Coturnix japonica: one gene and its partner. Each later gene encodes a partner of the first gene's protein in a complex. Links are inferred from orthologs where the notes say so. Each region holds a gene or a part of one and is shown in the gene's direction. Other genes may lie near its edges. The genes, in order: NDUFAF1 and TMEM186.

What was found.
Region 2: NDUFAF1 (region 1) and TMEM186 share a complex: the UniProt entries of both Homo sapiens proteins name them as parts of the mitochondrial complex. The link is inferred for Coturnix japonica from reciprocal best matches to the Homo sapiens genes NDUFAF1 and TMEM186.

What each region holds. Positions count from the first base shown.
Region 1 is NC_029520.1:21,995,699-21,999,613, reverse strand, and holds the end of NDUFAF1 (complex I intermediate-associated protein 30, mitochondrial), read left to right. Parts: intron 1-1,346; coding exon 1,347-1,421; intron 1,422-2,747; coding exon 2,748-2,888; 3' UTR 2,889-3,202; downstream 3,203-3,915. UniProt on the Homo sapiens protein: As part of the MCIA complex, involved in the assembly of the mitochondrial complex I.
Region 2 is NC_029529.1:9,416,450-9,420,446, forward strand, and holds TMEM186 (transmembrane protein 186), read left to right. Parts: upstream 1-1,459; coding exon 1,460-1,468; exon of another isoform or gene 1,469-1,552; coding exon 1,553-2,362; 3' UTR 2,363-3,240; downstream 3,241-3,997. Other genes in the region: PMM2 (phosphomannomutase 2), read right to left, coding at 83-158, 250-349, 525-616, 796-872, 1,005-1,116, 1,318-1,461. UniProt on the Homo sapiens protein: As part of the MCIA complex, required for efficient assembly of the mitochondrial complex I.

The sequences.
Region 1 (3,915 bases):
AAAATTAAATCAAATAATACAATAAATTTAGTGTTAGTATATGAATATGTTATCTATTATGTATTTTAAATAATCTACCACGTGTTTCCCGGAATGTCTGTTGTTTGCTGTTACAGGAGGCAGACCTTTGAACTGGGCTGGCGCTATACATGTATACTATATCCCATGCTATAGAATGGGAATATATGTGCTATAATACATACATTATGACAAATGTATGTATATACTTAAATTTAATTAATTGAAACAAACAAACAATAAATTCTACTCCTATCTGAAATTGGCTTCATGAGCTGAGGGCTCTTTAGTACAGACTAACAAAAAATGAGCCACCAAAACTAGAACATCGTGGTTGTCCCACGTGTGTGTGGGGCTGTAGTGGCGCTCAGGAGCACCTGCCATTCTGTATCTATGATTGTCTGGGAGCCTGTGGGTCTTAACACTGGGAAACACAACAAGCAGCCACACAGGGTGCATACTCAGCTCATACAGTGGGTGGTCAGAGCATGCACTGAATAGATGCAGCTATTGCAGCTTTGCAGGCAGCGCCAGGAACTTTCTATGCAATAACCGTTTTATCTGTAATGAATGGACTTAGATTGGTGTAGGATGTGTACCCTTCAACATGGTTTGCCAAACTTGGAGTCACTTGGGGCCTCAGAGGTGTGTGGATTGTTAGTCACAGCCTTTGAATCTGTGACACCCTGTAATGTTGGCAAGAAATGGGAGTTTCAGCTCTTTTCTGAGGACAGTGAAGTGTGTCACTGCTGGCCTGCACGTGTTCCTCACTCACAGCAGCCAGTTCTCGTTTCCTGTCCCTTGTCACAGCCCTCCTTTCTTGTTCCCACCCAGTTCAAATCACTGTTATATTTTTGTGAACTGTTTGCTAGGACGTTGATGTCTTTGAATGAAATTTGCAGTATAGAATATGCAGGCTGGATGTGGATGAGCTCTCCGTGGGCCTATAGTGCATCCTAGACTTCTCATTAATTTGTTAAAGCTGACACGCCATTGGAAGGTGATATTCTAGATGTGAACAGCCATCTTCCATGCTTCAACCTCTCCTGCGTCAATCTGAGCTATCTCTGAGCATCCAGCTAGCTCAGAATCCAGCCTAACAGCTGGAAACAGCTGCTGGAGGGCAGTGTGGGGCTGGAGCTGGCAGCACATGGCTAATGAGTGACCTGCTGCTTTTTGCTGATTCTTCGGACTTTGAAGTGCTGGTACCAGATTTAGTGTTATTTCATTTTCTAAGGCAGGGTTTGTTTGTTTTTTTCCCCTTTAAGGTTTTATTCTATATATACTGGTGACACTAAAGTCTATTTTTCTTTTGTTTCTGCTGTCAGATTCCGTTCTCCAAATTCTTTCTGTCCAGTCGAGGAAGAGTACAGGATGACCAACATCCCATCTGGTTGGACAAGGCAAGTTTTCTGTAGGCTTAATTTGCCAGAGCTACTTTGAGGTTGCATTGCCATCGTGTAGGCAATTGAGAGATCCTTGGGATATTCAGTGTTTTTAAATTTAAAATTCAAGAGGGGTTTCTACTTGTTTTAAGGTACTTCTTTTGTGTGTGTAGCTTTGCATGCAAATTATCCTACTTTGTGATTTCAGCGTCAGTTGACTTCAAAGTAGCTCCAAAGACATTTTTAAGAGATTTAGATAACTTGGCTGTTAAAAAAAAATAAACCTTTTTTTTAAGGGAATGATCAAAGTGACTGAGAAATCTAAAATGCAATTTGGCACAGTACTGACATAAATAGCAAAGGTAAGCATGTATCACAGAGTGTCTAGGGCTTATGAAGGGGTAAATTCTTCAGAACATCATAGAGTTTAGGTGACTCCTGCAGTCACCTGTAACAGAAAGCTTTAGAACTTCTGTAGCCTCCAGAGGCCAGGGGGGCTGACTGCAGAGCTCGCTTCTGGGGAAGATAAAGCAGCTGAAATCTTAGAATCAATCTGAGACTGGTTTGAGAACCAGTAACAATGGAGTCTCTGAAAGACTGGTGATGTACAAGAGAAGGTTTTCAAGGCATACACTACAGGCTAATGGGGAACATGTCTGAGCCCTGGGGATTTTTATGGGGTTTATTACAATTAAAAGAAAGTTATTATTTAATAAATTAGTGTAGCAGTAGGGAATGAATGAAGGACATTCTTTTGAAAAATGCTATTTGAAGTGGAAAACTGTGACTAAATAACTCAGTGTGTGGCATAAAGCTGTTACTGAGTTTTATGTTTTGCAAAATGTTGGCTTTGGGGCTCTTTCAGACTGTACCAGGCCTCTGTCTTACTTTAGAATGGAAGGAACTTATTACACTGTATTTGTGCTTCCTGCTCACATTAGAACTGTTAAAAAAAGGTGTGACAGAAGGATGTTTGTTCACCCCTTCATGTTGTCAACTGACAACATCCAAACCTCAAGGGATGAAAATCCCAGTGTTGCACCAGGCTTAGGCCATTTTCAGTACATGTTACGACTTAATGGTAGAGAAGCAACTGTGAATTCCATTGGAGCCTGTATTGAAAATAAAATATTCACAGCTTCAGAAATACTTTTAATATTATATAATAATATATTTATATAATATAGAATATAATATTATTATAATAATTATATAATACTTATTGAGTATTATTAAATAACTCGTAGACTGAGTGGATGTGAACTACTTATAGGATGTGGAAGTGGTAGATACTGGTTGTAACATTATTAAGATGTATTCTAACTTATGCATCTCTTTTATTAGATTAGTACCCTTGGATTCACACTGGGAGATAAAATAGATGGTCCCTTCCAACTGGAGATTGACTTTATTGGCCTGCTGAACGATAGAGCTCACACAGAAGAATTTGCTTATGAAACATATGAAAGGAATCCTCGAACCTAAGTTGGTCTTGCATCCCTTGGAACATTCATCAGCTGCTTACTTAACGTGTGAGAACATGCTTCAAGTTGTTACAATTATATAAACATGTAAACATTAAATGTTAAGTGGATGAAGTGTTGACTCAGTAATCTGACAAGACTGACACTGTTGGCATCATCAAGCTGCCAATGCCAGGCTGAGAGCTTCCACCTACAGGAACTGGAATACAGCCCGGTGAGAGCTGCACTACATGCTTACCGTGTGCTAACTGCTGCCTGGATATATTTTGACTTTTCTCCTGATCTTTAGGGAAATAAAAGTATTTTGTTAATGTAGCGTTGGTTTTTTGTACTCAGTTTGATTTTCTAATACATTGTTTATAGAGCTGTAAAACACTTGAACTCAGTAGGTTGTAACTGGAGAAGTTATGGTGTAAATACAGTGATAATACTGCTTAAGTGTCACAGCTTTAGAAATGTAAAGAACAGGACGTAACATATGTCAGACTTGAACTTCTGGCACCTGTAAGGAACTAAAAGAAAAACCTGCTGCTGCCTCGAGTGAAACAGTAGCACTGAAACTGATTTGGCTCTTATTTTTATGGGTAATAAGAGCTACAAAGTAGAAAGATGAAGCTGTTGAACCGAAGTAAGGCGCCGGGGGGGCCCCATCAGCATCCATTCCCTAGAAGGGCACTTCACCTTGATGAACACAGTTACCCACAGTCCCAGTAAGAGCAAACGATGCTTTTCTGATGAGTTATTAGCTTCACTATGTTGCAGAAAGGGGCAAAGCATCAAGTGGCAAATGGTCAGTTCCCTAACCCCCCCCCTTTTTTCCCTCTGTTCTCAGTAATTTAAGAAACACCTTATTAAGAAACACCTCAAAAAACATTTGCCAAATGGTTTCATTTCAGATGTCACAGTCTAATCAAAGCCTTGACTTCACTTAGTGTCCTCTGCTTACTTAAAAGTACCTTAAAAATACTAATCCTAGCTCTGTTTTAAATGGAGACTGCGACAAAGCACAACAGAGTTGACACCATCTT
Region 2 (3,997 bases), on another chromosome or scaffold:
TTTTGTGTTAGGTTGTTTGGCAGGGGGAGGATCTGATTTAAATGAAATGGTGTTTCAAATGAGATTATTTCAAATGTGATACCTATAGAAAATGTGAGGCCTTTTCCTGCAAATTCTCTTCGTAAATCAGCTACAAATTTTTCTCTTATATGCTCCTTCTGTGTAAGAAAAACAAAGAAACAAAAGGGATCAGCTGCACGCTGTGTTAATTCAGCAATAGAAAAATAATAACTAAAAACACCCAATCACCTTATCAAGTTCATAGAACTCAATTCGTTCTTCCTGGCTACAGCTTCTTCCAATGGGGGACACGTTTAACATCCCATTGCGGAATTCAATAAAAGTGCCCCTGAAAGAGAATTAATTAACAAGGCAGAAAACAGATGAAACAACGTTTAAGATACTGAATGTAGCAATGAGGCTTTGTTTAAAGACAGTGGGACCCCTTTACATGAGGTGTCTGCTTTGCACATTGAAGCCCAGCACTCTTAGATGCTGACTTGAGATGCATCCTATGCACATACCTTTTCTTTGGCAGTTTAATCTTTGCAATGTAACTCAGGCAGTAGTTGATGAGGTCTTGGAGCACCTCCTCACCCAGGTGACCCTGAATGTTCTAAACAAAATCAATACCATTAATTAACCCAGGCTCCACATCTGGAGATCCTTGAAACAGTTTAACAGGAGAACACAGCTGGTGGATAATCAGCTGTGATTGCTGGCACAGAGCAGTGGCCTTTCAATAAGGAACTCTCCATTGATTTAACTAGAAGTTCCCACTTTTTTTGCCCCTACCTGCTTGCTGAAGAACTTCCCATCTTTGTAAGCCACGAGCCCGTTCTCTGGAAACACGTAGTCAAACTTCTCAACCACTGCAAACAAACAGGAGGAAGGTGGTGACAGGAACCGCCCGTGTGTTCAAACGTGAGTTACACGGGTTAGAACGAGTGAGATCCCAACGGGAAGAAGGACTCGGTAACCCCGGGCACAGCCCCATCCCGTACCGTCATCACCGAGCTGCTCCTTGATCTTCTCAAAGTCTGAACCCCCGACAACGCCCACCTTCACCTTCTGACGCAACCTCTGCAGGAACTCCGCCATCTCCGCCGTGATTTTCTACGGTCGAAAATCAAACAGTGCAATCGGGGTCAGCATTACCCGGAGCTGTAACAGCCCCGTGCCCAGCCCATACAGCCCCGTGCCCAGCCGTGTGTGCAGCCCATACAGCCCCGTGCTCAGGCGCTGCCCCATTGACCGCTCCAGGCCCCTCATCCCGCCCCGCTCGGCCCTGATCTCCCCCCGCCGTTCTCCACTCACCTGCCGCGGCGCAGTGAGGGTCCCGTCCACATCGAACAGACACAGCACGGCTCGCTCCGCCGGCGCCATCGCGGCTGTGAGCAGCGGGGCCAGCCGGGAAGGGGGCGGTGCTGTGAGACGGCGGCGTGGCAGCGCTTCCCTCATGGCGATGGTGAGTTGTGGTGGTGCGGGGGGAGCTCGGCCTGCTCAGGGTGCGCGGCTTTGGGCCTCGTTGTTCACCTCAGTGTGCCCGCAGGTCCGGCTGTGCTGCGTGAGGAGCGGCCGCGCCTTGTCGGCCATGGGGAGGTGGCTGCATGGGGGGACCTGCAGGACGGTGTGGAAGGAGGAGGCCGCCGGGCCGCCCTGCTCGCTCGGTAGGGCCGTGTGTTGGTGGGCACACAACGGGAGAATCCACGGCTTTCTCGGTGACCGTGTGCCGTCTCGGTTCCTGCGCCGTTGGTCTCACAGAATCACACAGAATCACACATTGACCCGGGTTGGAAGGGACCTCAAGGATCATGTAGTTCCAACCCCCCTGCCTGGCAGGGCCGCTCCTGTCGCTGCCATCCCGCAGGTTGGAGGAGGTAAAAGCGAAGAGTTCCGCGTGGTGTACAGGTTCCCTGGTATTAAATACTGCCGGCTGCTGTCGAGGTTGAAGCTGCTTCAGACCGCAACGACGCTGCTGGTGCTTCCACCCGTGTGTTACCTGCACCTGCAGCAGCAGCTGCCCCAGGCCGTGCTGCTGTACACGGCCGGCATCGCTGTCTTTGCCGCTGTGATGCTGTACGGGATGAGTTACTTTTTCAGACGAATTATCGGGTTGATTTACTTAAGTGAAAGCGGAAGAACCGTCAAAGTGTCCCACATGACGTTCTGGGGGAGGCGCAACGACATCTGCTGCCCCTTGGAGACGGTGATGACTTTGGATGAGGTCGGGGATGCCAGGGGAGAGCTGCTGCTCCGGTTCAGAAGGTACAACAGCACAGAGGTCTTGTATTTCACTATTAAATACGGACAGATTGTGGACAGACAGAAGTTTATGCAGATATTTGGAGAGCTGCAGTGATTCAGCGGCAGCTGATGCCTCTTGTTGTATTGTTCCTTATGTGGATTCTTGCACAACATGCAATTCGTTTATCGAACTGATACACTTCTGTCATTTTTGCCACGTCTGCTGGGCTGTGTGTTCAGTGTAACAGTATCCAACAGTCCTCTGGGTAAGTAAGTAAGTGTTGCAGTTCTGGGGTGAGCAGGAGTGCTCCTTTTGGATGCAGTTAGTGTGTGCAGTGTCACACAGCCATAGAGGCAGCGAGGTGCTGCCCTGCAATGTTTCAGCTTTGGAGGCTTTGGGTAAAAAAAAACCCAAGCTTTCAAAGTGAGTGTCAGAGCATCCTCATTTCAGATTCACCTTCAGCAAGGTTTAGGTTAGCTGGGAAACTTAGTGAAATTCAAGTGCTCCCATACAGTCGTATGATAAATGATGCTAGATGTCAGAGTGATACTGGCCCATGGATTTATGAGCAGTAATTAGTAGTTATAATGGTGAAAAGGCTTCCTGACAATCATAAAATCAGTGTTAAAGAAACGATATTTGGATCAGCTCTGAGTACGCAGGGCTGGTGGCTGTGTGGGTGCAAACAGAACCCAAGTGCTGCTGCACAGCTGATGTCTGGGTGGTTAAAGCCCCTCCAGGAGCCTTCAGTGTTAAATCATTTCCCATTGAAATAAAGGAAGAATGCAGTATTCTTCGTTTGTGGTGCTATGAATGACAGGGAGCCCTTTCTCAGTTCGGATTTTAACAATCATTATGTTGAAATTTGGAACTACTTGTTCTTGTCTGCATATGTTCATGCTGGGGGGGTTGTTTGTATGTATGTGTGAATGACATTTAATCACTGCTGTAGCACTCGAGTTGCAAAAACAGTAAATATTGCTAAAAAATTATCTGAGACTGAAGTCACCAACCTTCTGTTTACCACCATAGATCACCATGTAGCTGTGGTTCAGCTGCTCTGTCCTGCTTGATCTGTGTGTTGATTTGGGCTCTCTAACGTCTACAGCACCCTTGGCAAATACCCACCCACTGCCCTGACCTAAAACAAGGGGAGAAAAGGTAAAACAGATAAAAGCTGTGTTGAATTACAGCTGAGAAGTGTAACAGGTGTAGCTTGTTCTGTTGAACTGGTAGAGCTGATCACAGCCCCCCCTGTGTGTGTGGAGCTCATCACCTCACCCCCTGTGTCTGTAAAGGGCAGAGGAGGTGCTCTGCTGTATTATTGATTCCTCCTTTGCCAAAGCCAAAATCTCAGCAGAAATCAGGATTTAAATCTAGGAACAAATGTAGTTCAATGTACAATGTCCTAAAGGTTTGTACAATGCAGTACAAACCTTTAGGAGCAGCAGATTGTTTGGCACAGGGGAAAGGAGGCCTGGGGACTTTATTACTCTCTACAGTTAGTTACCTCAAAGGAGGCTTTAACAAGGCAGGGCTCAGTCTCTTCTCCCAGGTAATAGTGATTGATAGGATGAGGAAACAGCCTCAAGTTTAAGCTGTTTAAGGGTAATTTTAAGGGTATTATAAGAAGTCTTTTTGAAGCACTATGGCAGGCTGTCCCGGGCAAAGCTGAGGTACTGAAAAGACTCAACACATGCAGTGCTGAGGGACGTGGTTTAGTGGCCGTTCTAGGTTAACAGTTGGATT